Rattus norvegicus: one gene and its partners. The protein of the gene in region 7 binds, or shares a complex with, the protein of the main gene of each other region. Links are inferred from orthologs where the notes say so. Each region holds a gene or a part of one and is shown on either strand. Other genes may lie near its edges. The genes, in order: Tctn1, Ahi1, Tmem67, Mks1, Cep290, Tmem107 and Tmem17.

Evidence for each region.
Region 1: Tmem17 (region 7) and Tctn1 share a complex: the UniProt entries of both Homo sapiens proteins name them as parts of the tectonic-like complex. The link is inferred for Rattus norvegicus from reciprocal best matches to the Homo sapiens genes TMEM17 and TCTN1.
Region 2: Tmem17 (region 7) and Ahi1 share a complex: the UniProt entries of both Homo sapiens proteins name them as parts of the tectonic-like complex. The link is inferred for Rattus norvegicus from reciprocal best matches to the Homo sapiens genes TMEM17 and AHI1.
Region 3: Tmem17 (region 7) and Tmem67 share a complex: the UniProt entries of both Homo sapiens proteins name them as parts of the tectonic-like complex. The link is inferred for Rattus norvegicus from reciprocal best matches to the Homo sapiens genes TMEM17 and TMEM67.
Region 4: Tmem17 (region 7) and Mks1 share a complex: the UniProt entries of both Homo sapiens proteins name them as parts of the tectonic-like complex. The link is inferred for Rattus norvegicus from reciprocal best matches to the Homo sapiens genes TMEM17 and MKS1.
Region 5: Tmem17 (region 7) and Cep290 share a complex: the UniProt entries of both Homo sapiens proteins name them as parts of the tectonic-like complex. The link is inferred for Rattus norvegicus from reciprocal best matches to the Homo sapiens genes TMEM17 and CEP290.
Region 6: Tmem17 (region 7) and Tmem107 share a complex: the UniProt entries of both Homo sapiens proteins name them as parts of the tectonic-like complex. The link is inferred for Rattus norvegicus from reciprocal best matches to the Homo sapiens genes TMEM17 and TMEM107.

What each region holds. Positions count from the first base shown.
Region 1 is NC_086030.1:39,969,120-39,973,393, reverse strand, and holds the start of Tctn1 (tectonic-1 precursor), read right to left. Parts: upstream 2,801-4,274; 5' UTR 2,730-2,800; coding exon 2,372-2,729; intron 1-2,371. UniProt on the Homo sapiens protein: Component of the tectonic-like complex, a complex localized at the transition zone of primary cilia and acting as a barrier that prevents diffusion of transmembrane proteins between the cilia and plasma membranes.
Region 2 is NC_086019.1:17,602,531-17,606,030, reverse strand, and holds part of Ahi1 (jouberin), read right to left. Parts: intron 1,918-3,500; coding exon 1,688-1,917; intron 208-1,687; coding exon 101-207; intron 1-100. UniProt on the Homo sapiens protein: Involved in vesicle trafficking and required for ciliogenesis, formation of primary non-motile cilium, and recruitment of RAB8A to the basal body of primary cilium.
Region 3 is NC_086023.1:30,334,667-30,338,166, forward strand, and holds part of Tmem67 (meckelin precursor), read right to left. Parts: intron 2,953-3,500; coding exon 2,836-2,952; intron 2,738-2,835; coding exon 2,633-2,737; intron 1,977-2,632; coding exon 1,874-1,976; intron 1,151-1,873; coding exon 1,008-1,150; intron 244-1,007; coding exon 163-243; 3' UTR 1-162. UniProt on the Homo sapiens protein: Required for ciliary structure and function. Part of the tectonic-like complex which is required for tissue-specific ciliogenesis and may regulate ciliary membrane composition.
Region 4 is NC_086028.1:73,151,453-73,155,398, reverse strand, and holds the start of Mks1 (tectonic-like complex member MKS1), read right to left. Parts: upstream 2,801-3,946; 5' UTR 2,179-2,800; coding exon 2,099-2,178; intron 1,680-2,098; coding exon 1,570-1,679; intron 230-1,569; coding exon 159-229; intron 1-158. UniProt on the Homo sapiens protein: Component of the tectonic-like complex, a complex localized at the transition zone of primary cilia and acting as a barrier that prevents diffusion of transmembrane proteins between the cilia and plasma membranes.
Region 5 is NC_086025.1:37,252,283-37,255,782, reverse strand, and holds part of Cep290 (centrosomal protein of 290 kDa), read right to left. Parts: intron 2,531-3,500; coding exon 2,317-2,530; intron 1-2,316. UniProt on the Homo sapiens protein: Involved in early and late steps in cilia formation. Its association with CCP110 is required for inhibition of primary cilia formation by CCP110.
Region 6 is NC_086028.1:54,269,696-54,273,995, reverse strand, and holds Tmem107 (transmembrane protein 107), read right to left. Parts: upstream 2,801-4,300; 5' UTR 2,670-2,800; coding exon 2,583-2,669; intron 2,406-2,582; coding exon 2,338-2,405; intron 2,280-2,337; coding exon of another isoform or gene 2,256-2,279; coding exon 2,155-2,255; coding exon of another isoform or gene 2,038-2,154; intron 1,322-2,037; coding exon 1,225-1,321; coding exon of another isoform or gene 1,030-1,224; coding exon 960-1,029; 3' UTR 476-959; downstream 1-475. UniProt on the Homo sapiens protein: Plays a role in cilia formation and embryonic patterning. Requires for normal Sonic hedgehog (Shh) signaling in the neural tube and acts in combination with GLI2 and GLI3 to pattern ventral and intermediate neuronal cell types.
Region 7 is NC_086032.1:100,718,365-100,722,471, reverse strand, and holds the start of Tmem17 (transmembrane protein 17), read right to left. Parts: upstream 2,801-4,107; 5' UTR 2,393-2,800; coding exon 2,293-2,392; intron 896-2,292; exon of another isoform or gene 821-895; intron 1-820. UniProt on the Homo sapiens protein: Transmembrane component of the tectonic-like complex, a complex localized at the transition zone of primary cilia and acting as a barrier that prevents diffusion of transmembrane proteins between the cilia and plasma membranes.

The DNA of each region.
Region 1 (4,274 bases), on a different chromosome or scaffold from region 7:
AAGAAATAACAGGCGCTGGAGAGATAGCTCAGTGGTTAAGAGCACTGACTGCTCTTCCAGAGGTCCTGAGTTCAAATCCCAACAACCACATGGTGGCTCACAACCATCTGTAGTGGGATCTGACGCCCTCTTCTGGTATGTCTGAAGACAGCTACGGTGTACTCACATACATTAAATGACTAAATAAATAAATCTATGAAAAAGAGAAATCCATTTGTTACTCTGGTTCCAGAGGATCTCATGCCCTCTTCTGGTCTCTGCAGGTACCTACCAGGCACATATATGGCATCATTCAGGTATCTACAGAGGCAAAACACCCCTTATAAATCTCAAAAACCAGAACATACAACAACGAGGACGACCAGTACCAGAGCCTGGAAGTAAACTGAATGCATGGCTCTGACTGCCGTGAGGGGGAGGAAGTAATAAATTTGGGGCTTTGATAATCTTGGTTGTTTTGCTCTTTGTTTTCTGAAACAGAGGCTCATTTGGATCGGATCTCCTAACCTCCCACCTCTCAGCAGAAGATGAAGGATCACAGTTGTGACCCACCACGGTTCTCCCTTTCCCCAGCTAAAATGTCACTGAATCTTTGGGGGTTTTTTTGTTTTGTTTTGTTTTTTTGGTTTTTTTGTTTGTTTGTTTGTTTGTTTGTTTTGTTTTTTTGAGATGGATTCTCTGTGTAGCCTTGGCTGTCCTGAAACTTACTTTGGAGGTCAGGCTGGCTTGAACTCAGAGATCCACCTGCCTCTGTACCACCCACCTTACCCCAGGATAAAGGTGTGTACAACCACCACCACCACCACCTGACTTGATTTTCTTTTTAAGAATTATTTATTTTGGGGTTGGGGATTTGGCTCAGTGGCAGAGCGCTTGCCTAGGAAGTGCAAGGCCGTGGGTTAGGTCCCCAGCTCCGAAAAAAAAGAACCAAAAAAAAAAAAAAAAGAATTATTTATTTTGTTTATATGAGTACACTGCAGCTGTCTTTAGACACACCAGAAGAGGGCATCAGATCCCATTATAGATGGTTGTGAGCCACCCTGTGGTTGCTGGGAATTGAATCAAGACCTCTGGAAGAGCAGTCAGTGTTCTTAACCACTGAGCCATCTCTCCAGCTCCCTGATTCTTAACTGTAATGTTTTGTTTCCTAGGGGGAGTGGGAGAGGCAACAATCTCAGGCTTAAAGAACTTTAGCTAATAGGACATCATGGCATTGTTTCTATGAATGAATGATTTAAAAAAAAAATAAAAACAACCTCTAGAGATGGGAGGCATGATGGGAGGCATGATGGGAGGCCCACACCTGGGAATCTCAGCAACAGGGAAGCAGTCAGGATAGTCAGAAAGGTATCAGGTTATATATAGGCCAGTCTGGGTCACTTAGCAAAACTGTCAGGAACAAAGTTAAGAAAAAAGGAGAAAGCAGGAGACTAGAATATTTCTACAGGAGGCTGGAGAGATAGCTCAGGAGTTTTTAAAAAAGCACATATTGCTTCTGTCCCCAGCACCCAAGTCAGGCAGCTTACAAACCAACTCCAGCTCCCGGGGCTCTGAGGCCCTTTTATGTTCTCCAAGGTCACCAATATATATCCAGCCACCCAAGTGCTCACCTATACAAATATACACACATAATTAAATATGTGTGTATGTGTGTGTGTGTTATATATTTATATATATATATATATATATTTTTTTTTTTTTAAGAAAAATTCTCCCCCAAAATGGTATAATGTGCTTTGGAAAGACACAAAAGGAAAAGGAAGTTTATTGATAAATGCAAAATGTTTCTTAGTCCGAAAGGCAAATGTGCTCCTTCTAGATGAGGTCCTCTCTAGCCATGGACAACTGGGCATGCTCGCTAAAATAACGCCACAATCCCTTAACTGGCACGGAAAGCAGAAAGAGAGCAATTAGGCCCACTGCCTCATGTGTTTAAAATTACAACCACGAATTATTGGAAAAGCTTCAGAAGGTAAGAAGATGAGGGTAAAGCTGGCATGTTTAATAACTCCACTGAGCTCTCAAGTCATCTAAACAGCATTCGTATGCTCACGTCCGTGTGTCTGCATGGAAAGGACTAAGATCTACTTAGCACCCTTTCTTCTACCAGTACTGCCTACAACTCATTCTGAAGGTTTCTATCTAGAACTCCACTCCAGAGTCACTTTCTGCATCAACACTCCAGCTGTTTGAAATTATGTGGGAAAGGGAGTAACTTAGCTCCGCTCTCCGCGTTTGTGTGCTGGAGATCCCGTCTCCCTCTCAGGGAACGACAGGGAGGCTGAGAAAGGTGGAACTTTGAGAAGGGTTATCATTTTCCGTACGTTCTTACTGGTCTACTCGCTCCAGGGAGTTAGCACTTTGTACCCACCGTCCGTGACCGGGGTGGGCCTGGGGCCAGAGAGCTCCGGTGGCCTGGGAGTTCCCGGGGTCCTAGGAGACCAGGAGGGTCTGAGAGTGGCGGGGGTGGCCTCGGTGAAGTTGAGATCCTCATTCGTCACCACCGGGGTGGCCTCGGTGAAGTTGAGATCCTCATTCGTCACCACCGGGGTGGCCTCGGTGAAGTTGAGATCCTCATTCGTCACCACCGGGGTGGCCTCGGTGAAGTTGAGATCCTCATTCGTCACCACCGGGGTGGCCGCAGCCGGGGTGGCAACGACCTGGGTGCTCGAAGAGGTGCAGCAGTTTAGGAGCACCAGCAGGAGCGGCGGAAGACACCGCGACCCCATGGACTAGCATACTATCCCGCGCCAGAGAGCTAGGCCTGTCTGTTGCCGGGCAACAGTCACAGCCGAGCGCTAGGCACCACGGGAAAGGGCTCGCGAGGCCACGCTAGTCTGCGGAGAAAGGTGGGGCCTGAAGCCAGACCAGCGGGGATTGGGTTAAGGCCCGCCGATCACGAAAGGGGCGGGAACTGGGCAGGGCTATGGGCGGGACCTGATTGGCGTCGGAGGGGCGGGGCCGGGACCGTGGGGGCGGGGTCTGAGACTGCTCTTTCTAAGGAGCCCTCTGAAAACCGGAATCTGTAAACTAATGTGTCATGGTTAGAAGTGCATGTTTAGAGGCGACTGGAGTCCTTTAAGACATATTGCCACCATCCTTGAATTTCTTACCCCATGTTACTTACTGACTTTACTTTCTTTGCCTTTAGATACAACGCAGGAGGTCGCCAGACCACTTCTATCCACGTATTTATGATAAGAGAAACAAAAGAATTCTTAACTTTTTGGTTCTTTTAGACAGGATCTCTCTGTGTCCGCCTGACTAATCTCGAACTCAAGGAAGTCCTATATCAGTGCCTCATGCAGACATGCACCACGGAATCCAACCTCCATTTCTGCTGTTATGTCATTCGGAATGTTCTCGTGTGTTCGTTGGTTGGTTGGGGAAGATGGGGGAGGAGTTTGAGACAGAGTTTCTATAGCCCTGGCTGTCCGAGATCGCACTCTGTGGACCAGGCTTCCTTGAACTCAGAGAACCGCCTGCTTCTGCCTCCCAAGTCTGTCTGTCTTCCTTCCTTTCTTTCTTTAGGTTTATTTGTGTATTTTTTGTATATGGGTGTTATGTCCGTATGCACACCAGAAGAGGGCATCACATCTCATGAGACTACAGTCATAGACAGTCATGAGCTGCCGTATGGGTGCTGGGAATTGAACCCAGGACCTCTGAAAGAGCAGCCAGAACTCTTAACCCTCCAACCCCTCCTCAAGTCTTACAGTCCCATGCTTCGAACCATTCTGCGAAAAGTTCAGTTCTCAAAGTCGTCTTATCTAATCTCAAGCCCTGATGGCCCCAATGTAAAAGTCAAGGTGTAGACTGCATCTGCTCATACGTTTTTGGAATCCTTAGGGACCCTGGGGACTCATTTGTTAGGTTTTTTTTTTTTTCCCCATCATAGGTCAATGAGTCCATCTAGGGGCTAGAGAGATGACTCAGCCATTAGGCACACTTGCTGCTTGCAGAGGACCAGGGTTCAGTTCTCGGCACTGAATATATAAAAATAACCGATATAGTCACCTATGCTGGGGTTTCTTCCCAGTCAACGTCTTTATTGGCAACAAGTGTCATCCATTTACTGGGTGGTAGAATTTGGTTTGGTTTTGGTTTTCAGCGGTTTTTAATGAGTGCCGCTCTACAGGTTCACTATACACTTTAAGTGGACTTGTGTTTCCATTTCTCTCAGAGCTCCTTCCTAGGAGTGCATTCTATGGTCATGTGTGTTTGTAAGTTTATAAGAAATGGCCTGACCTTTCTCTAGAGCGACTCCCCAGTTT
Region 2 (3,500 bases), on a different chromosome or scaffold from region 7:
GTGAGGAAGATGAGGTGACACCAGTCCCCTCTCGGAAGACGAGACTGGATCAGTGGCTCCCAACTGTGGTCAGCAGAAGTGAAGAGGTGTGGTTCTGTACCTTGTTTATTGTCCAGTGGCGCACAGAGTGCTGCACATCAGTCACTTTGACATAAGTGTCCCACACAGCGATGACGCCGATGCAGTCTCCTGAGTACATGTGGTGACCTGTTAAAAACAGCAAGCTACTCACTCAAGAGGGTCACGGACGTCATAAAGAAAATGGTATGAAGTTGAGGGAAGCCACGACTTAGACACACAGTCAAAGCACTGAACTGTCAATGAAGGGTTTTTCTATTTAAAAGGTAAAAATAGAATGCGCACTACATGCCAATTATCTTTCATAAGTCCTTCATGTTTAAAAAGCATGCTGGGTAACGTTAGTTATCCAGAGTCTGCGCGTCTCGCACCCACACACTCCTATTCCAAAGTACTTGAGGTACACAGTGTGTATCTGTAGCTCTTATTATTAGCCTTGCAATCATTTATACTCCTAGAAAAATACATATTCTTTTCTATTTCTTTTTTTTTTAAAGATTTATCTATTTATTTGTTTACTTATTTATTTACTATCTGTAAGTACACTGTAGCTGTCTTCAGAGACACCAGAAGAGGGCGTCAGATCTCATTACAGATGGTTATGAGCCACCATGTGGTTGCTGGGATTTGAACTCAGGACCTCTGGTAGGGCAGTCAGTGCTCCTAACCACTGAGTCATCTCTCCAGCCCGAAAAATACATATTCTAATACACATTGTAAACATAGTCATGTGACTATTCAATTTGAAATAATCAGAGAATTTAAAAACCATAAGTAACAAGTGTTAATACCAGTTTTTAAAAACTGAATGGGACGTATAAGAAACATTCAACACCATAGCCATGTGAGAATACATGACACATCACTGCTAACAAACATGGCTTTTAGAACTGTGAATTTAATAGTTTACGAATGAGCTTACTCAAATGGTGAGTACTGCCATATATTAAAATACTCGTTCTAATTTGTTAGATTCTCTGAAGTTGAACTGCGTACATAGCAGTATTATTATTTTTCTCTAAATTATTATTGTAGATACCTATAACTGCAGCTGTCATACCTAATCTGTGAAATAATATAATAATAACAAGTTAATAGATGAATTTCTTTATTCTCTTACCCAATAAAAACCTATGTTTTATTTTAAAATGGCTCTTATATTATTCAAACGCTGATATCCTTTAATTATCTGCAAATTTCCTTCTGTATTTGTCTTTAAAGCTCCTACCAATATACCCAGCATGTGCATTTGCCGCACTCTTTTGAGGTTGTCACCATCCCTTTCATTTTTGTACGGCCTAACTTAAAATGTTCTTAAAGGCAATTACTAAAAATAATAATCACCAATGCAAATAAATATATTTATGAAATGCTGCACAGGAGGGAGTTTCAGAAGAAAGGATGGTAAGTGAATATAAATACAAAGAACTTTAAAGTCACTAAGAGAACACTTTCACTGTCACATCTATCCCATTACTTGAAACTACAAATAACTTTAAATATACACAACTATTAATACAGCAAATGTCTCACAGGCATCAACTATTAGAGAGAGGGATCAAACAATCAAGGTAACTGTTCTTGATTTAGAGCACGTTCTGTGATATACCTTCATCATCAAAACAGATGGAGTTGACGAAGCTCTTGTGGACATCCAACTGGCGCACTAAGATGGCGGCATCTTCCCTCGCATCCACCTTCCATATCCGAATCATAGAGTCATAGCATCCCGTAACCACCAGCTCTCGTGTGGCGGGGTGGAATCTAGCCGTGTAGACGAAGGAAGGGTGAGGTAAGACTCTGAACGTGCTTGTGCTGTTGATTTCATTCTTCCAAACCCTGCAGTGGGAGAGAGAGGAGCAGACCTGAAATGCAAAGTGTTCTCTACACATTTTTATAAGAACATAGCCAATAAATCTTAGGTGAGCAAATGCTAAACAATAGTAAACTAATGTAAATTACTATTTATAAAAACCATTATGACGACTGCATACAAGATGGTACTAGATTATTTCACTTTTCTTTTACAAAACCATTTCTCATGAAATATATTTTATCTATTACTGTAACCTACACTGTAAAACTAAAACTTATTTGTATTTGGACACAATCTACTTTAAAACTATTTTTGATATTGAGTAAATATACAGTGAATAGTTAGTAAAATATTATTTAGCATAATATGTATTAGCAAGTAGGGAGGGCTGGAGAGACAGCTAGGTTACATGTAGTGGCTGCTCTTGCAGAAGGTCCAGGCTAGGTTCTCAGACCCACACGGTGGCTCATAACCATCTGTAATTCCAGTTCTAAGGGATCCAATTTATGACATTAGACTTAGGACTGAAAGCCCATAGTCACATCTCAGCAAATTTATGCCCTTTGTTCTAGTATTACTGGATTGGCTGTGCTAAGAAAATATGCCAGACAATATCCATAGTACATTTCGAGGAGTGGTGAGTTTCCCAGAGTAATAGAGGGAGTAAATTGTCCTCCATTATAGTCTTTCACTGAAATATGACAATGGTGACATTCTGATCACTGGTTATTTTATATGAAAGGGCAGCTGACAAGGTGACCAGCTGACAAGGTGACCAGCTGAAGAACCCAGGCAGAGGAAATGGCACGGCTCATTAAGTGAGAACTGGAGAGACAGCACAAAGGAGAGTGAGATCAGTGTGGGTCTCACGAGGGGTTTGGTGACGGCTTCGCGGGCTGTGGAGAACACATCTTTCTCATCTACATGACATAGATAAGAGCAGCTTGGAACCTTTTATTTTTATCATGTTTTGTCATCTTCTGACTGCCATAAATATTCAAGGTTAAAAAGCTAGAAGATGTGAATAGAGCTTAAATATTAGCTTTTAGGGCATTTTATTGAATCACTTGTGCTGGCCATGCCTGTGATCTGGGTACACAGGAGGCTGAGGCAGAAAGAGTGCACATTTGAGGCTAGCCTGGGCTTCAAGTAACACTATGAAGAAAACTGAATAATCAGACAATAAATAAAATGTACTCTGAAACATATTAAACTAAAAGGAACACTGACCTTGTGAAAATGCAAATATTTATAATTTATAAAGCTCTAGGGAGCTAGACCGAGAGTCTACTTGGTTTACTCTGACCAGGGGATTCAAGCCCCTATGTCAAGCCTACAATGAAGACAGAATCCTCACATGCACATAGGACAAATCTCAAACATTTAACCTTCTTCAAGATATTAATTAGTTTACATATAATCATTTAAAAACAGCAAGAATCAGAAATGATACATATTACACAAATAAAAGATATGACTTGCCGTAAGTTTTACTGTTAACCAGTCAGTCTGCACGGTACACAACTATGCTGTCAAGGGCATATGTGTCTCTCTATATTCTCGTAGTTTTCCTTGACTGCAAACAACATACGCGGTAAGTACTTCC
Region 3 (3,500 bases), on a different chromosome or scaffold from region 7:
GAAATAGTATTTCTACTATATCTTATATTTTACAAGCTATAAAAATAAATCTTTCTGTAGATAAAAAAAGGAAGAATAATATGTATTACGAGTTTTACAAAAGATAGCCTGACATCACGGCTTGGCCCCATTATACTGAGTCCTCAGGTTTTGCATCACAGATTAGATCAGAAATCTTTCATCCACTAGTGTTTTGGTTGCTAAATTCTTTTGTCCTACTGTATTTCGGATAAATCGAAAAATCTAGAAAAGCAAAACAATTAAGAAGAAAATTAAATATGCAAATCAATTTAAAGTACCTAAATTAAACTAGCTAATTTTCCCAACCACTTCATATCATGAATGAGATACTTTAATTACTAGATATATTTATTTTAAAATATACATATTAGGAAATGTTTTTATGAATTATATACATACTTCTCATGCTTGCAAGAATATACTTTTAAATACTTAAGGAATTTAACTCCTAAAACTATGGAAAGATCAAAAACATCTCCCTGGTAAGGGAAGAATTTGCTATGATTCTAAATCCAGGAATAATACACCATGTAGAAACTCATTTATCCTTCGTGAGAGAGGGTGTTTGGGTGCTACCAATAACGGCATTTCCAGCACAGCTGCCATTTCTTGAAATGGTCCCCACAGTGAGACGTGTGCAATCGAGTACAGCCCTGAACCACATGCCCAGTGTTTGCTCCTTGTGTGTGAATGGGACTTAGGGAAATTCGTGCTCACTTTTGGTATGTGGGAGACGGGTGGTATGTAAGTATCTTCCTAGGCATTAAAGCCACTTTCCTTCCACTGGATCCTTGAACATTTATGGTCCCCAGGGGCAGAGTGCGGTGTGGTCTGCTGAATGGTTCTTTCCTTTGGCGGTGTTAATCATAATCTAAACATTCACCAAGCCTACTCAAAGTGGATGCTCTCACATTCTGTTGAGAAAATACATACCCTCACTTCTAACATGGCTGCTTTAGGAGAAACCAGAACACGCTGTTACTTACCTCTTGCTGCAGGTAGGTGAGGAAGGATGCTAAAACAAAGTTCTGGCAAGCCAAGTCCACGACACAGAAGAACAACAGATCAAAGATAAGGAGAGTGGCCTCGTTCCCATAATACAGCACACTGCTGAAAGAATGACTTTCATCTAGGAAAGCCATGGAAGATGTGTCAGTCAGTGACAGAGAAGATCCGTGCTACCCCCCGGCCACAGCAGATTAAACATGAGGTACATCTTGGCTCACACTAAAGTAGAAGGTGCTTCAGACTGCCAGTCTAAAATGGTAGTCAGGGCACGCAGAAACACCCACAAGCAGGAGTTTCAACATCAAAGCAAATGTTGATAATTGCTACAGAGTGCGTATGCTACGAACACCTTTAAGGAGCAGTTACTGAATCCTCGTCCTCTGCTTATAGAGCTAACAGCTAAACTAATCTTAGAGATAGTGTCCAAGAAAAGAATAAAAGATAAGAATCTAAGTCACAGTGCGAGCATGGGCTTCCTGTGTCAGTTTCCTACAGTTTGGTCCTCTGCCTCAACACACAATTCTGTCCTTTTGGGGATTTGAACACCTTCTTAAAAGACCTGAGAAGTTTCCTGTCACCATGGAAAGTAAACAAGCACAAAACCCGAATGTTCGCCTCCTCTTCCTCCCCAGAGCTGCTCTGCTATGTTCCTTAATGACACCTCTTCCTGTCTCGTTACCTTCATACTGGGTCAGTTCACACACTTCAGAATCCATCTGACTAGGCTGACCTAATCAAGTCCCCATCGTTTCTATATGAAATCATAAAGATCAATGGAAGAATGACTGCCAGCACCCCGTCTCCCCCAAACAGGCCTCAAGCTCAGCAAGGACACGAGGGTCACCATTGTAGAAGATGCTCTTCTCCAGGGGCTCCATGAACTCCATCCCGAGGATCTTTTCGAGAAGCAACTTGTCTTTTATGAAGTAATCCATTTCCTTATGAACCTAGTTTGCGAAGACAGTCATGTAAAAAACTGTAGTGAAGTCAATGCTTTCTAATTAATGAAAAATTAGAACTACAAAAGCTGAGAACACATAACATACAAAGAAAAACTTGTATAAAACGAATCACTATGCTAGAATTTAAACTAATAAATATTAATTTTAAATATTAAAAATTATTTTAGAAATATTTTAAATCTTGAATTCTTAAATTTAAGACTGAAAATCTTTAAGATTTTAGTTTAATTTAAAATTAAGATCTGAAAATTGATTTATAAGATGCTTTTTAAAAATACAATCATAGTGTAAGGATTTCAATGTGAGATAACATTTTGGCGACATACAATTCTAGTATAGTATAAAGTTCTACAATAGAATTTTATGGGACATATAAAAGGGAGTCATAATTTGCTAATGGTCACATTAAAATCACATTTTTCTTTTAGATAATCTAACTTTATGTAATCTAACTTTATGTTTAAACCATAAGTTGTTAGTGGCTGCAAATGCTTTTTAAAAAAATATTCCTATGTGTTAGGATGACAGAAAAGCATGGGTTCACTGACACGGCTGAGTGAAAATATAACTGAATTCTCATTTAACTTTTCAAAGCCAGCAGACCACCCTGGCTACAGACAGACAGACATCCAAACACATACGTGGTCAATGAAAGAGCCGAGGAACTTATTCATTGCGTGGTATGCCTTTATACTTTGTTCCAAGGTACTCCCTGATGAGCTCAGCAGTCTGGCAGGGCCATTTCTCTAATATGCAGGAGAGAAACGTGTAAGCACAGCACGCCTGATGCGGGACTTAAATGACCTAAGGATGGTGAAATACGCGTGAGCAATACTTTACAGACCCTTGTTAATGTCTCGTGAATTCTGTCATAGTGCTGTCTCATCTGACTGGAAACGGCAATCTGAAACGTCTGCCCATCTGTGTTGGGCACCAAACCTCTTTGACTGCACAAATTTTCCTAAAAAACAAAAAATTTAAGGGTTTAAATTAAGATAGAAATGATTGCAAAAGGCCTTTTAAAAAAAGAAAGTTCTTCAGCTTGTTCACGTTACAAGATTTATTAATCTAATGGAATCTTGCTGATACTGGACTTGAGACGAACACTAGTGTTTCTCACTGTGGTCACAGTTTCCCACAGATCTGTGGTCTCAGTCACTTCACTCTCATTCCAGCTTCCCCGTCGTCGCGGTGTCACCTCCTGTACTCTGCTCTAAACCACTGAGCTCACTGTACAGTTTGTACCTTAGTTTTCACCGCGAGGACCTTACCTTCTTTAACGTTTGTAAGACTGAACAGTGGAAGTATGGATACCTTCTCACAGACTATACACGACGAACACGAACTCACTGTTGCAGTAGCTCAGTGCCCAGCCAGTTCCCACTGACGGCTCACGGCCCGTCAGATTCTGCCTCCGTGACTCCTTCTCAGAACTTACTACTCTCTCTCGCCTGATCCCACCCAGCGAGCAGGACAGCCTTTGGTTTCCACAAATGTAAAGGAAGATAT
Region 4 (3,946 bases), on a different chromosome or scaffold from region 7:
CAGTGGTAGCCGTTACATTACAATGGCTACGTAAACATAACGGGAGAAAGTATAAGCCACCACAACCCTTTCTGGAAATCAGTTTGACAGTATGAGTCAGTGGCCAGGTACGAGACAGGTAGGTGGAGGCAGACTGAGGACAAGTCATGCTGGCTCACCTGGCTAAACAGCTTCTCCTGCCACCCAATTATAACTTCTTCCTCCTCTTCTTCATCAGGGCGGTGTCCACCTCCAAACACAACAGAATGAATCAGACCAGCCACACTTCTTCCTCGGTGGTTGGTTATAACCAGTGTTCCTATATTTGTTTCATTTGGGTCTTAAAATTTTTGTTATTGTTGTTTGGAAGTGTCTCGTTCTGCAACCCAATCTGACCTCAAATTCCAGATCCTCCTGCCTCAGCCAGAAAAATACTGACATTACATGTGTATACCACCAGGTCTGGCTTCAAAGTCCTGATTCACAACGACCACGAACCCCACTGGAATTCAGTGACTCACTAAGCACTCACTCTAGACAAAGAACGCACATGCTGGACACACTTTGGTTAATGCCAGAAGAGAGATTAGGATCTGAGGTGTCCTAATCATTACTCTAATTTGAATAAAAGGTAACTCTGCCTTCCAGGAAATATAATCTTGTCCAGTACAAGGAACTGAAATTTAGTTAGAGGCTGAAGAGTCAGCCCTTCCTCAATCCTGCCTGCATTTGCTGAATTGGCTAGATAAACATCCTGATGTTTTTCTGAAGCCACCTACCAAATCATCCATAAACATTAACTCAGGAGACCATCAGGAGAGGGAGGGAAGGCAAATAAATTTTTTTAAGAACTATATTTAATACACTCCTAGTTCTGTGCATCTTTCTCAAGACACAACCTTTGTGATCCACACAAAGAATGCCTAAGAATATTTCTGAGTAGAACGAGAAATAACAAAAGCACTAAAGATTACTGGCCCAACATGAGACTCTTGTCCTTTCTTTTGGCTTTGAAGGCAAAGAACAAGAAATCACATTTTTCATGCAAACTCCTATTTTTAAAATTGTTTGTAAGTGTATTTACACATACATTTGGAGTTTGGACCATATTTCTCTTAGAAGCCCTTTCCCCCATTCCCCCCCCCACCCCAGTCTCCCTACCGACCCCCCAACGGCCCCCAATCCCGGTCAAAGTCACAACTAGGATGAGTAAGATGGCTCAAGTCCCAGGACGCATCAGGTACAGAGAGAGAACTGAACTGGTTCGCAAAGGTTATCCCCTGAACTTCACTCTTGCACTGTGGCATGGGCTTGCAGACACACAAATGTAAAGTACAATGTAAAAAAAAAAAACAAAACAAAACAAAAAAAAACCACAACAAAAAAAAACAAAACAAAAAAAACAAAACAAAACAAAACAAAAAAAAACGAAACGATTGCCCAGGTTCAAACGCTTCCATATTCCCCAGCTATGTGACACTGGGCAGCAAACTCAACCTCTCTGAGCTTTCTGTTCCTCCTCGGTACCCTACTGCCCCGCACCCTTGCCTCAGTTCTCAAATGATTCTATTCTATTCCACAAACACCCACTAGCAGCTTGAGGAGGCTTAAAAGTGGCCAAGTCTATGAGGTCCTTCCCCATCTGGGCAGCAGGCTGGTAATGAAGGAAGTTGCTTGATGTGATTCTTTGCAGATGAACTCTGTCAAGAGAAGAGAAGTCCCAAATGTGCGTGTCAAAGACACACAGCAAGGAGATACACGCAGTAAGGATGGGAGAAAGAAATCACAGAGGCAGAGGTGCCAAGGCGGCAGCTAGAGAAGAGGTGGGTAGGGGCGTCTGATGGATAAGTCAGTGAGGCAGGACAGAAGGGTCTGAGGGCTTTGAAAGTGGCGAGAACTTGAATGGACTTGAACAGGGGTGAGTCTGGAAGGTGTGTTTGTAAGCTTTCAGTGGGAAAAGATCCTGAACCAGAACGCGCACAGAAATGGCAGAGGAAGTAGTTGGGATTGTAAGCGGAAGTAGGGGCCTCTGAGCATCCAAAAGCTTAAGGGTGGAATAAAGTTAGGGGGCCCTGGAGCTTAGAGTAAGGGGACCCTGGAGCTGGGGTGGAGTGACTACCGGAGGCGCAGGTTGCGCACGGGGTCCCGGGAGCGATACACGGCCTCGCCGGTGTCAGTGCTCCAGACGGCTTCCGCCATGACAGCTGCTTCGCGCGGCGACCGCGCCGGAAAGCGCGCCCCGTTCCCCTGGCAACGGAGACGCTGGCTTCTTAGACAAGGGAGGCTCTGCGCACGCAGCTCTCCACGCCTGCGGCAGCCAGTCCTTAATGTAGAAGCAAGGGACCCTCAGCAAGTGAGCATGTGTGACGTCTGCAGCCTTGCTTGTCCTGTGTGAGAGCTAATGCACTGCACAAATGAGGAAACCGCCATCAGCTACTTTATTTAGGTGCAAAAATGGTGATGGCGGCCAGAACCAGGTGACCAGAGTTCTTGCTTTCTGACCAAACACTGCCTTCCACTGAACATTTGAAAACTTTGGCCTAGGGGGCGTGTAGAAATGGCTTAGTGGTGAAGAGGTTAGTGACTAGACTTCCAGAGGAACCAGCGTGCTCAAATGGCCACTCACACCTGTCTGTAACTCCGGTTCCAGAGGGGTCAGACACCTTGTCGCCTTACAGTGGACATACTGTGCGCAGACGTATTATGTTCAGCCAAAACACCATTATGCATGAAATAAATAAAAAAACTTTTTTAAAGAAAGAAAACTCAGGCTTAAACAATTGGTGAGTATGGTTGAAAGGACATGCTACGAAAATAAAACATATTCTTTGAAGAAAAAAACCACAAAGAAACCTGTAGGGCAGGTATATCAGTAGTTTTGTGGGTACGCACTGAGCCAGAGAAAGAAAAAACAAGGAAGCCAGCAGTAAAAACAAGGAATCCAGCAGAAAGGAAGGAAAGGGTGTTTTCCCCGTGGCATGTCTGTTCTGGATTATTAAGCAGTTAAGATTCCAAGCCAGCCCCTGAAAAACCAAAGTGACATTCAGAAGTCATGGTTCACTGGAGCATCAAAGGAAAGATAGTATAAACTTAATTCCGGCTGTTTGGCAATATCAATATTGGTAATAAGTATTTGACAGTTGCTGCCCATTCAGCTGAACAAGCAGTTGTTGCCTGGACTGAGACATTTCATGGCCATTTGATTATAGGGCAGAGAAGTCCTGGGCGCATTAGCTACTCATTGTGTACACTAAGAACTCACCACAAATAGCACATACCCAATGGGACCTCACGCAGTTTATATTGACTGTAACCCTCCCCAAAACCTCTCCAAGAGATACTTTATTGCAATTTAAAGGATGAAGTTACCGAAGGCCAGGAGTAAATTAAGGGGCTTCTTAATGAGTGCCGAGGTGGTAAAAACAGATTCCAGCCTGGTTTGGTTTTTGTGGCCTCAAACCTTCCACTGACTTACTGTCTCCCATCCACATCCTTAAGAAAATACAATTTCCGGGGTTGGGGATTTAGCTCAGTGGTAGAGCGCTTACCTAGGAAGCGCAAGGCCCTGGGTTCGGTCCCCAGCTCCAAAAAAAAAAAAAAAAAAAAAAAGAAAAGAAAATACAATTTCCAACTAAAGAATGATTTCTATAGACTGAAACCATGGAGATGGAAAAGCAAGTCAATCTGATTTTTTTTAAGCTGAGAATATCCAGGGGAGGGGGTTTATGTTTGGATTGCCAGCACTGGAGGCATAAATAAAAGGACTTCAAGTCTAAGACCTCATTTTAAACAGAACAAAACAAAAGAAGAACAAACAATTAAAAAAAATCAATCAAGAGCTGTAGAAATGGGTCAGTGGGTGAAGACCTTTGTCACTAAGCATGATGACCTGAGTTTGATCCTTAGAAGGAGAAAGCTTATTTCACAGAGTTGTCGTCTGACCTCCACACTTTGGCATGTGTGCCCA
Region 5 (3,500 bases), on a different chromosome or scaffold from region 7:
AACCCACACACCTATGGTCACTTGATTTTTGACAAAGGAGCCAAAACCATCCAATGGAAAAAAGATAGCATTTTCAGCAAATGGTGCTGGTTCAACTGGAGGGCAACATGTAGAAGAATGCAGATCGATCCATGCTTATCATCCTATACAAAGCTTAAGTCCAAGTGGATCAAGGACCTCCACATCAAACCTGATACACTCAAACTAATAGAAGAAAAACTAGGGCAGCATCTCTAACACATGGGCACTGGATAAAATTTCCTAAACAAAACACCAATGGCTTATGCTCTAAGATCAAGAATCGACAAATGGGATCTCATAAAACTGCAAAGCTTCTGTAAGGCAAAGGACACTGTGGTTAGGACAAAACGGCAACCAACAGATTGGGAAAAGATCTTTACCGATCCTAGAACAGATAGAGGCCTTATATCGAAAATATACAAAGAACTCAAGAAGTTAGACCGCAGGGAGACAAATAACCCTATTACAAAATGGGGTTCAGAGCTAAACAAAGAATTCACAGCTGAGGAATGCCGAATGGCTGAGAAACACCTAAAGAAATGTTCAACATCTTTAGTCATAAGGGAAATGCAAATCAAAACAACCCTGAGATTTCACCTTACACCAGTGAGAATGGCTAAGATCAAAAACTCAGGTGACAGCAAATGCTGGCGAGGATGTGGAGAAAGAGGAACAGTCCTCCATTGTTGGTGGGATTGCAGACTGGTACAACCATTCTGGAAATCAGTCTGGAGGTTCCTCAGAAAATTGGACATTGAACTTCCTGAGGACCCAGCTATACTTCTCTTGGGCATATGCCCAAAAGATGCCCCAACATATAACAAAGACACGTGCTCCACTATGTTTATAGCAGCCTTATTTATAATAGCCAGAAGCTGGAAAGAACCCAGGTGCCCTTCAACAGAGGAATGGATACAGAAAATGTGGTACATCTACACAATGGAATATTACTCAGCTATCAAAAACAATGACTTTATGAAATTCCTAGGCAAATGGTTGGAACTGGAAAATATCATCCTGAGTAAGGTAACCCAATCACAGAGAAACACACATGGTATGCACTCATTGATAAGTGGCTATTAGCCCAAATGCTTGAATTACCCTAGATGCCTAGAACACATGAAACTCAAGACGGATGATCAAAACGTGAATGCTTCACTCCTTCTTTAAAAGGGGAACAAGAATACCCTTGGCAGGGAATAGAGAGGCAAAGATTAAAACAGACACAGAAGGAACACCCATTCAGAGCCTGCCCCACATGTGGCCCATACATATACAACCACCCAATTAGACAAGATGGATGAAGCAAAAGAAGTGCAGGCCGACAGGAGCCGGATGTAGATCTCTCCTGAGAGACACAGCCAGAATACAACAAATACAGAGGCGAATGCCAGCAGCAAACTACTGAACTGAGAACAGGACCCTCGTTGAAGGAATCAGAGAAAGGACTGGAAAGCTTGAAGGGGCTCGAGACCCCATATGAACAACAATGCCAAGCAACCAGAGCTTCCAGGGACTAAGCCACTACCTAAAGACTATACATGGACTGACCCTGGACTCTGACCTCATAGGTAGCAATGAATATTTTAGTAAGAGCACCAGTGGAAGGGGAAGCCCTTGGTCCTGCTAAGACTGAACCCCCAGTGAACGTGCTTGTTTGGGGGAGGGCAGTAATGGGGGGAGGATGGGGAGGGGAACACCCATATAGGAGGGGAGGGGGAGAGGTTAGGGGGATGTTGGCCTGGAAACCGGGAAAGGGAATAACATTCGAAATGTAAATAAATACTCCATTAATAAAAAATAAATAAAATAAAATACGTGTCCATAAAATTCATGAACTGGGTGGGGAAAGCGTAGCATCTTCTAAACCATTTACCAAGTCTGAGATAAATAAAAAACACAGCAAAACTACGATTTCCTATTAAATCTATTGACCAACTTTTCACAGAAAGCCTCTGAAGCCACATTCTGTCATCTCTCTTCCTTTTTACCACCATATCACCCCAGTCCTCTAAAGTGTTCAAAACTGCCTGAGCAACATGAAAAACCAACGGAAATGAGAAATAATGAGGCTAAGATGTCTTTTCCTTCTTAGAGATACTTGCAGACCTCCATACATAAATCAACTGCACTATATCTGCATTTTAAAATAGCATTAGCACAGAGCAGAGCCATGTGAAAGAATTTCTAAGCAACCACATTAGAAACCACATTCTTTTCTTTCAACAGTGCTTAGTGCCTTTTTCGGACCTCCAGATTTCTAGCCCTTTTCCTTGGTGGCCATGAGGCACTTACCTTTTGCTGCTTCTCTTTCAAAGCTAGCTGGCTCTTTAGCCTGTCTACTAGATTCCTCATTGTGGTTGTTGGTGCCCTGGAGTTTGCTTCTTTCTGAGCCTGGAGTTCAGACTTTAAATTCTGGGAGTCCTTCTGTGCTTGGGCTAGAGCATGCCTTAAGTCCTCTACCTCTGCTTTCACTTTCTTTACTTCGTTGGCATGAGTTTCTTGGAGCCTGAGATAAACAATCACATGTATTGACCAGACTGGGTATTGCAAGCAATATCTTGATTTAAAAAAACAAAGCAAATCAAAACAAAATGACGTTGGAAAGCCACAACCACAGACTATGGTTATGTCTATACGCCATATGTGGTAAAAGACTATACACGCAAGTTACTTCAGAAGATTACTACTTCCTTCATTTAGGAATTAGATCTGAAAGCCTAGGTACTCTTCAGTAAGGCACAGTGGTCCATGCCTATGATTTCAGGATTGAGTCAGCTAAGGCAGATTACAGTGAGTCCGAAAGCTTACACTGCCCAGTGAGCTCTAACTAGGACAGCCTGGCCCAGGGTGAGATGTGGCTCAAAAGAGAAATGAAAACAGATTATAAAAAACATAAATTTGCAGTCCAGTACATGGCATAAGATTAGTATACAAAAAAATATAAACTCTCCTGTATATTCAACAGACTGCGAGAATCAAGACCAAAGCAGCATCACACAGGATCTTCAAAAGAAAGACTCTCAAGTGGCAGCTACTTACATATTCACAAACATGTGCTACGGTATCTCAGGTCCAAGAGTAAACAGTCAAAGTTCTAATGGGCCATCAGAAAGGGATAGAATCCTAAGTGGGCCAACATTCCACTGAACTGAAGCCAGGAAGATGATCTATGATTAGAAACTGAACCATTTCATACCAATTTTATGTTTAAAAAAAGCTGACTGATGCTAATAGTCTTTAATATATAATATGTTGTGAACACTCTGTCACTACAGTTCCTTAAAAGCAAATTTAACAAACATTTATTAAGCCTGGTTTTTATCACATATTCTCAGGTTTAAACAAAAGGTATTTATATGTGAATTTGTAATTTTCAAGTCACTTCTGTACCGGGGAACTTCACTTGGCAGGAGTCCAAGTAAATATTGCCATTTTCATTTACAAAGGATGAAGTAGACAGTGGAAGTAGTTAAAAT
Region 6 (4,300 bases), on a different chromosome or scaffold from region 7:
TTCTAGAAGCTGGGCAAACAATCAGCAGCAAGGCACTTGTTGTCATAGAAATAAGGTCTGAGCAATCAGTCAGTCATATACACAATTACTAAAAGCACCTTAAAGTCATGGCTCTGACCAGTGTTAGGAGAAATTTCAGGAGCACAGGACAAAATTCCTAAATTCTATCAGTCAGTACATGCGAAATAAATATGATCGTCAGAGAATCAGATAGGAGCAATCAGGATGTTGTCAGGTCCTGATTACACGGAAATGCTAATCAGCAGATCATGCAAGCTCCAATCATCATTTTCTATCTGCCCTCCGAGAGGAGGAACAGGTAAGGATTAACCTCCTGACGATAAAGGACAAAGGGAGCCCATTCCTAATTAAGTAAAGACATTCCATATTAAAGAAAGGGTGAGAATATGACAATTTAGCACGAACCCAATGACTTATAGTTATTGCAACTCAAGAGCAATATCTATTTGCAAGTCGCCTGAAATATTTTATTTTTCCATTCGGCGCAGAAAGAGAGAAACAAAGTTCTCCCATAATGCTCCGCTCACATACAGCAAATTAGAAGCCCTATGTGAGGTTCTTATTTACATATTCCCGCCCACTCACTTCCGCCTATTTTGTACCGTAAAAATCCAAATAGAAGCATAAGCTACTAGCTCACGTACAGAAGGCTAGAAAAAAGCCTTTATTTACATCAGCCTTTTGATTTACCCAATGGTCTTCTGACAAATAGTCTAAGCCTTGCTCTTATTATAAAATGAATTTTATTACAAAACTCTAATAAAATTATAACCCAAGATTTGTGAGATCTTATCCCAACATTGCCATTTTCTGTTTAGACGCAGTTGGGAGGAGCAAAAGACTAGGGCGAGAGAAAACTGAAGCCTCTCCCTTTCTTCTTCCAGCAATGGGAGGGAGTTCATCACGTTTCCGGCTTTGGTCTCTTCATCGGATTGTGATCAGAAGGGTTTCTTTTTCAGCCCAAAGACAGCGATGAATAACGCAGTTTCAGTGACAGCTGGAAAAGCGCTGTGGAAGTAGGGGGTGGGTTTAGAGCCCCTTCCGACCCAAACACTCAAACCTCCAAGCCTTATATGTGAGTGGGTTAGCGGATGGGTACGACTCTTTAAAACTCTACCAATTTCACATGTGCAGGAAAGGTCTAGGTGGGGGAAACCTTCAGATTTGGGGTAGACTTTCCACCACCCTCCATTCCAAAATAACCTGCAGAAGGCAAAAATGTACCAGTACGTGGTACATTCCCATCGCTCGAATATGAAGAAAGATAGGGCCACAGACGCGCTACAGTGGGCTGCAATGGCTTAAAAATACAGCAGAGTCAAGGAAAATAATAGGTAAGTGATGGGTCCCTTTAGTACTCGGACTTGGGCTCAGCTTGTTCCCTTCCCTTAAGACAAACACCAGAGTTGGCAGCCATGCCTTCTGAATTTGTGGACACTTATGTGTAAGAGGCCAGAGCTGAGTTTGTTTTGATAGGACCTCTCCCTGTACACTTTTGGGAGTTAATGTCACATATGCCCTAGGCCTCACAAGAATACCTACAGGTCTGATACACTGTGGGAATTTCTCCAGTGCTCTGGTCCTCCTTGTCCACAACTCAGAGTCAACGGCTATCTTTTTTTTTTTTTTTTTTTTTTTAAAAAACAGGGTCTCTCTATGTAGCCCTGGCTGATTTGGAACTCACTATGTAGGCCAAGCTGGCTTCGAACTTAGAGATTCACCTGCTCCTGCCTCCCTAGTGCTAGGATTAAAGGTTTGCAACATCACACCCGGGTATCGAGAACCTTCCTATGTGTCTCATTTTCTTGGTCCCTTTTGAGTTCCCACAATGGTTTGTATTTTGCACACTCCTACAGAATACTGTTTAATCACACTGATTTACAGATGTTTATCCATCTCTTCCTCAAACAGGATAAAGTGGTTTTACTCCCACTCATGGATCGCCAGAACCTGGCTCACATCAGGGTTTAAGGTTTGAAGTCTATTAATTCCCCAAAACTGTCTAAAACCTCTCACCTAGAGAGATTCGCTTTGCCACGTAGGGCAGAGACTTGTGCCCAAAAGGCCTACAGAAGTGGAAAGAGTGAGTGGTGATGATGTCGCATGGGGACGCTGGCCAGGCAGAAAGGATACAGAGGAGGCTCTGGGTGCTATTAAACATGGAGACTCCTGAGAGGAAGCCAGCCAGCTCCACTGCAAAGAGGCCCAGGGTGAGGCAGAGCGCTGCTACCAGTCTGCAGAGAGAAAGGGTGATGGACCTGGGTTTCCGGATTGCGTAGAAGACCCTGGCACTCTCACCCCGCCCCAAGAGCTCACTGGTTGTCCTGCTTCTCATATTCCTCCGGGGTGAACTTGAGAGGCAGGCAAGCCTGGATGTTGCTTTCCTGGTGAGCCGGGCAGAAAGAAAGAAAGAAATGTCAAAAGAGGGATGGGGTTGCGGGGGACGGGAGCAACGGACCCAGTGTGGGTCTGTGGGAGTGGACTGAGCTGAGCTGGGTCCACTCTAAGGTGAGAATGGGAGGGACAAGAAGACACGCGCGCGCGCCCTGTCCACGTCTTACCCGGGACCAGAACAAAGTGATGACAATCACCAGATGAGCCAAGAGCGTCAGGAATCGAGAGGGCACGAGCCCGGAGATCCGACCCATGGCCTCGGGGGCCCAAAGCGGAGGCCGTAGAAGTCTGAGGAGGGTCACTCATCAAGTCTCCCAGAGCAAGCAGGCCAGACCTCTCTACTTAAGCCTCCTTCCCGCGTGCTCAGGCGCCGCCCGGTTGCCATGGTAACTGCGTCCTCAGGCGCCATGCAGCTGCCTCCGGAAGTCTCGCGATAGTGCTGCGCCCTCTGCAGATGTCTATAGGCCAGGTACCCGAGCCGATGCTCACCTCCTGGTGCTTGTGGGATGAATCCGGGAGGATGCACCCGTAACCACCAAATCCTCCCTTTTCCTGTGCTTCCCACTCACTGCCTTGGGCGCCAGGAGATGAGGGAACGAAGGAGTAGAGCTTCAGCACCGAGCTTTGCCCCACAGTCTCGCCAAGCCCTCCCCGCCCCCCCCCCACAGCCCCTGGTTGTCAGAGGGCTCCCTCTCCCACCCAAGACCAAACCTCTGCCGATGAACGACTCTAATTTCTCCCTAAATAACTTGTCTCGGTTTCATGAAAGATTTGCCGAGTGCAGAAATGAGCAACCTTGGAATGGGTAGAATAGGATGTGGGTGGATGAGGTGACAGCCTCCTCGGGATCCCAAGGGATCTGAAAAGGTGAAGAATGGAGTGGGGGACTAGAACAGCTTGTGCGCCCCTGGGAGGCTTAAACCAGGCTGATTCACCACCGATTTCACTCTCGCTTTGAGTTGCCAGGCCGCGGACATTGCTCAGTTACAGACCCAGAACCTCTTCTTAGGGTGATGTGACTGATTTGGGGCTTCGGATGAAATGCCTGCGATCGGAAAGTTCTCACTACCATCCCAGTTCACAATCAAGTCCCATTGACAATGAACCTCCTCCTTTTGCACCCCCTCTTCTCTCATTTCTCTGTGTGTGTGTGTGTGTGTGTGTGTGTGTGTGTGTGTGTGTGTGTGCCTCTAAACCAGCCTAAAAGACAAGACCCAGAGGGATTTCATTCATTCAACAAATATCTGATGTCTCCCAGATGCCAGGCACTGTGCTTGACTCAGAATACATCGATAAAGTCCCTCCAGTTTATATTCTAGGCAGAGAGACTGATAACAAAACAAACAAACAAAACAAAACAAACAAATACACACACACACACACACACACACACACACAAAACCCCAACAAAACCCTGCAAGGTAATGTATGCTGTAAATTTAAAAACTTTAAAGGGTGACACTAGAATAATATCAAAGGAAAGTTTTGAAATAGATAATTCCTAAATTTTCGTTTCAAGGAATTGGGGGGAGGGGGAGAGAGAGAGGAAATGTTTCTGTCTCCCTAAAGTAATACATGGGGTCCCCTTACCTAAACCAGTGAGTAAAAACATTTAGAATGCAGAGTCAACGTTTTTTACTTAAAGGTCATGAAAGACAGGCTGGAGTTCTTCCCACTGAGTGGGGGATAAACCTAACCTAACATGAGATCCCAAACCAGACAAAAGACACCCCCCACCCACACACACACTCACACTTTCATTATAAAAGACTGGTGGAATGTTTGACAAACAGTATAGTATTTGTAACTTAAATAACAACAACGTAGATTTTTTTAATTTTTTATTTATTATATATGAATACACTGTAGCTGTCCTCAGACACAC
Region 7 (4,107 bases):
TTGATTATGTTCCCCCACTCCGAAAGAAATCTTGCCCCTCTAGGTATTTTCCTCTCTGAACTGCATATAAGAAGTGCTGGTTAGGGCTGGAGAGATGGTTCAGTGGTCAAGAGTGCTGCTTGCACACACACACACACACACACACACACACACACACACACGTATATACAGGGAGCAGCACTATTAGGAGGCATGGCCTTGTAGGAGGAAGTGTCACTGGAGTTGGGCGTTGAGGTTTCAGACGCTCAAGCCAGGTCCACTGTCACTCTCTCTTCCTGTTGCCTGCCAATCTGGATGTAGAATTCTCAACTACTCCTCCAGCACGTCTGCCATGCTTCCTAACATGATGATAATGGACTAAACCTCTGAATCTGTAAGCCGGCTCCCATTAAATGTTTTCCTTGGTTACGTTGTATCTTCACAGCACTAGAAAGACTAAGTAAGACAGAAGACAGAGACTCTAGGAGCCAGAGTTGGGATACATTATTACATCTTTCTGGGCATTCCCCTAATCATCTCTGGAGGGATGACTCCTCACAGGCTGTTGTGAGGAACTCCACTCTTTCCATTATGCCTATCACACTTAGTGGGCACTCCACAGACAGTGCCCTTCCTTGTATACGGAGACAATGCTGTCTCAGTGTAAGCACAGATTTCACTTAACATGTCCTGTTCAGAATCGTACAAATACCAACCATGTAGAAGCAAAAAGAACTGATTTTCAAAAGCATGCTGCCATACAGGTGGCCATTTGTGACTCACACATTCTACTTACTAGACTGGTTACCCAACATCTTTTGCTTTTGTATAAAAGAAAAGGTCCGGGGATTTAGCTCAGTGGTAGAGCGTTTGCCTAGGAAGCACAAGGCCCTGGGTTCGGTCCCCAGCTCCGAAAAAAAGAAAAAAGAGAGAGAGAGAGAAAAAAAAAGAAAACAAAAGGTCCTTCAACAAGAATTTGATTATAAAAATTGAGCCCTAAAATACATTATAATTTAACTACATTCTTATTTTAAATTGGTTGTTCTAAATGTAAGAATTTAGGAAGATAATGAGAATTTCCACTGAAACTGATTTTTGTTTTTCTCTGCATAGTTTTTTTTAATTGACGGTTAATACTTTTAAAACAATCATGGGGTAGGGGACTGGAGAGATGGCTCAGTTGTTAAGAGCACTGACTGCTCTAACCAGAGGACCTGTGTTCAATTCTCAGCAACCACATGGCAGTTCACAATTGTCTGTAACACAGGTGTACATGCAGGCACACAAGCATAAAAGCCAATGCACATAAAATAAAACAAATTAATGAAAAAAAAATCATGGTCTCTAGAAGGAAACTAAGTTTTAAGAGCAAGGCTGACTATTGTGGTCTGTTTTTCTTGCTTTGATTTCTTAAACTATCCTAAATTATCCCAAATATAGGAATGACTTTTTTTCCCCCAAGGCAGGGTTTCTTTGTATAGCCCTGGCTGTCCTGGAACTTGATCTGAAGACTAGGCTGGCCTCTGCCCACTGAGTGCTGGGAGTAAATGCATAGTCAGCCTTGCTACTATCTAGGTTGTTGAGGCTCTGCACGGTAAGGCTCGCACTTTAAATCAGAAACATAAAATCCTAATTTTTTTCAGGTTTTCCCCTACATAACCTAAATTACACAAATGACCAAGGTGACAAAATGCAATGATGAGAAGTGGCTTTGTTTTCCAATACCCCCTTTAAAAAATAAAAATAAAAAAAGCCCAAATCAAGACGGATTTCCACTTTCTTGAGTTCAAAGGTGAAAATCATGTACGCTGTCGTCCTGATTGAGGAGGCAGAAACTGGGGTCAACTCGGTGGTATTTCGTTATTAGATTGAGGGAGAGAGTTTTTTATACAGGGAGAAAGGAACAGGCAGAGGAAGGCCATGTTAGCTTGGCCGCTGCCAGTGGCTGGTGAGGAACGTGCTTGCTCTGCTAGGAGTTTGGACACAGCCCGGTTTTGTGCAGGGTGGGAGCGGGAAGCCTCTTCCCCACCCTGGCCTGCGAGCGGACTGCTTTCACGTAGCGGGGACCGGCTTGTGGGAGAAGGCGTTCCTGCTATGCACTCTGCCTCCCAATCCGCTCGGCGACAGCGCCACCGGGTGCAGTAGCTGTGGCTACTGAAGCTCGTGGTCTCCCGGGTCCGCCACAGGGTCGCGGTCTCCTAACCCAGGACAGTACCCTGGCTGAAGCCGTGGCCGCCATCTTTGACCCGGGCACGGCCTATGCGGCCGCCCGCCCGCGAACCACACCTCCGCGTGGGGCCCCTTGCCACTCACCCGCGGCCTCACTGGACTCTGGCCCGGTACGGCTGGAGTCGCCGAACATGGTGAGGCTGAGGTTGCTCAAGCGCTGACGAACAGGGTCCGGCAGCTCCATGTCTGGCCTGCCCGGGCCTATCCCCTCACGTTCCCGCTAGTGGGCCAGCTCAGCGGCGCGTGGCGGTTCCCTTGGCAACAGGGCTGTGCTGGCCGCTGGGGACCTGGTTCCTGGGCTGCCCGGCGCGGAACAGAGTCCTCCAGAGCCTTCTCCGCGGAGAGGCGAGCGGGAGCCACCGGCCCGCTGCCGAATGTGGCCTAGTGCTGCTGAAAATGGAGGGTTCCTCCGTCTTGCTTTAAAGCTGCAGCGTCTTAAGATGATCACAAGTAATAAGCCATTTGGTCCTGAGCTGAGCCACAAGGAGCTCTCACACCAAGGCAGTTTTTCCGTAAAATTGGTGCGCCATTTCTAGAGGGAAATGGAAAAGAAACATAAATCTTAAAGAATGCGCTTGACCCAGTAGGTTCCTTTCTATCGGTACATAAAATCTGGAGTAAGGCCAGGGTGGATGAGACAAGCAAACCTGCTTCAGAAGACAGGAAAATAACTCAAAAGTATTGAGAGCAGTTGTTTCTGGAATATGGGTGACTTAAAAACTAAAAACATCAGCCGTTCCCTGCTCTCCCTTAAGATGTATCATTTTAGCACTCAGGCAGAGACAGGAGATCAGGCTAGCCTGGACTACATTGCAAAATCCTTAAAACCCAGAACAAACCGTAATAGCCATATAAAGAAAAGCACAATCGGATGTACCAGCACCCAAGTCAGTCAACCGTATCAGCATCTCCAGGAGCTACGTTTTCTCAGTTGCTTATGAAGCAACTTTATAGTACACTAATCGCACACTGAAGTTTAAAAAGAAAATCTGACTTTGATGTCAACATTTGTATGAATCTTCTTTTTATTTTATGATCACACCAAGTTTGTCTATGTTGATAAGTTTCTGTGTAGTTTCTACGTAGGAGCAGTTATGACAGGTGCCACTGTTGGTGAAAATGCTTGTTGGTAAGCATATGTTTATGTTGAGTATAACATACACCTTTTTGTCAAGTGTAACATTCACGTTTATGTTGAGAGTGTGCCGGAGAAGTGCTGAGTGGAGTGGTGTGTAAGACCGATTTTATTGGGATCTACGAACACATTCCCAAAGAGGTTTCATCAGACTCTCCCACCTCCAGCTATATTTGAACGTCCCTGTTATTTCATGAGTGTGGGCTTATATTCCACCCTAACCTTTTCATCTTTCTGGTGAAGGGCGGTGGGTCTGCAGATGTCTCAGCGGTTACCAACACTCACTGCTCTTGCAGAGGACCCCGGTTCATTTCCCTTTACCCACATGGTGGCTCACGTCTGTAACTCCATCAGAAACCTCGTTCCCAAAGGGAGTGAGAAAGGATTTATTCTGAGCTAACTATGAGTCCCCAAAGCGGGAAAGATAGATTCAGGTTATCCAGGTAATCTGTTCCGCCATCAAAGTGGCAATATGAATTTGTATTACTAGAGGGTGCAAGATAGCCATAAATCAATGCGTCTACTAAATCCATTAGTGAGGACACCAGGTAGGCAGGTCACAGCAAGGCAGGGACACCTTTGCCATAGGTCTCAAATGCTGTATGAGGGTATAATAGCTTTGGGTTGGTGGATTGGTGAAAGCCACAATCGGCTAACCTAACAGATTCCAAAGGTGTTTTCTGAATGGAATGATCAGATACAGAGGCAAGTGGTAAATGGATATCAAGAGGACTGAAGAGAGCCTAAGATAATTTCGTCCTTTG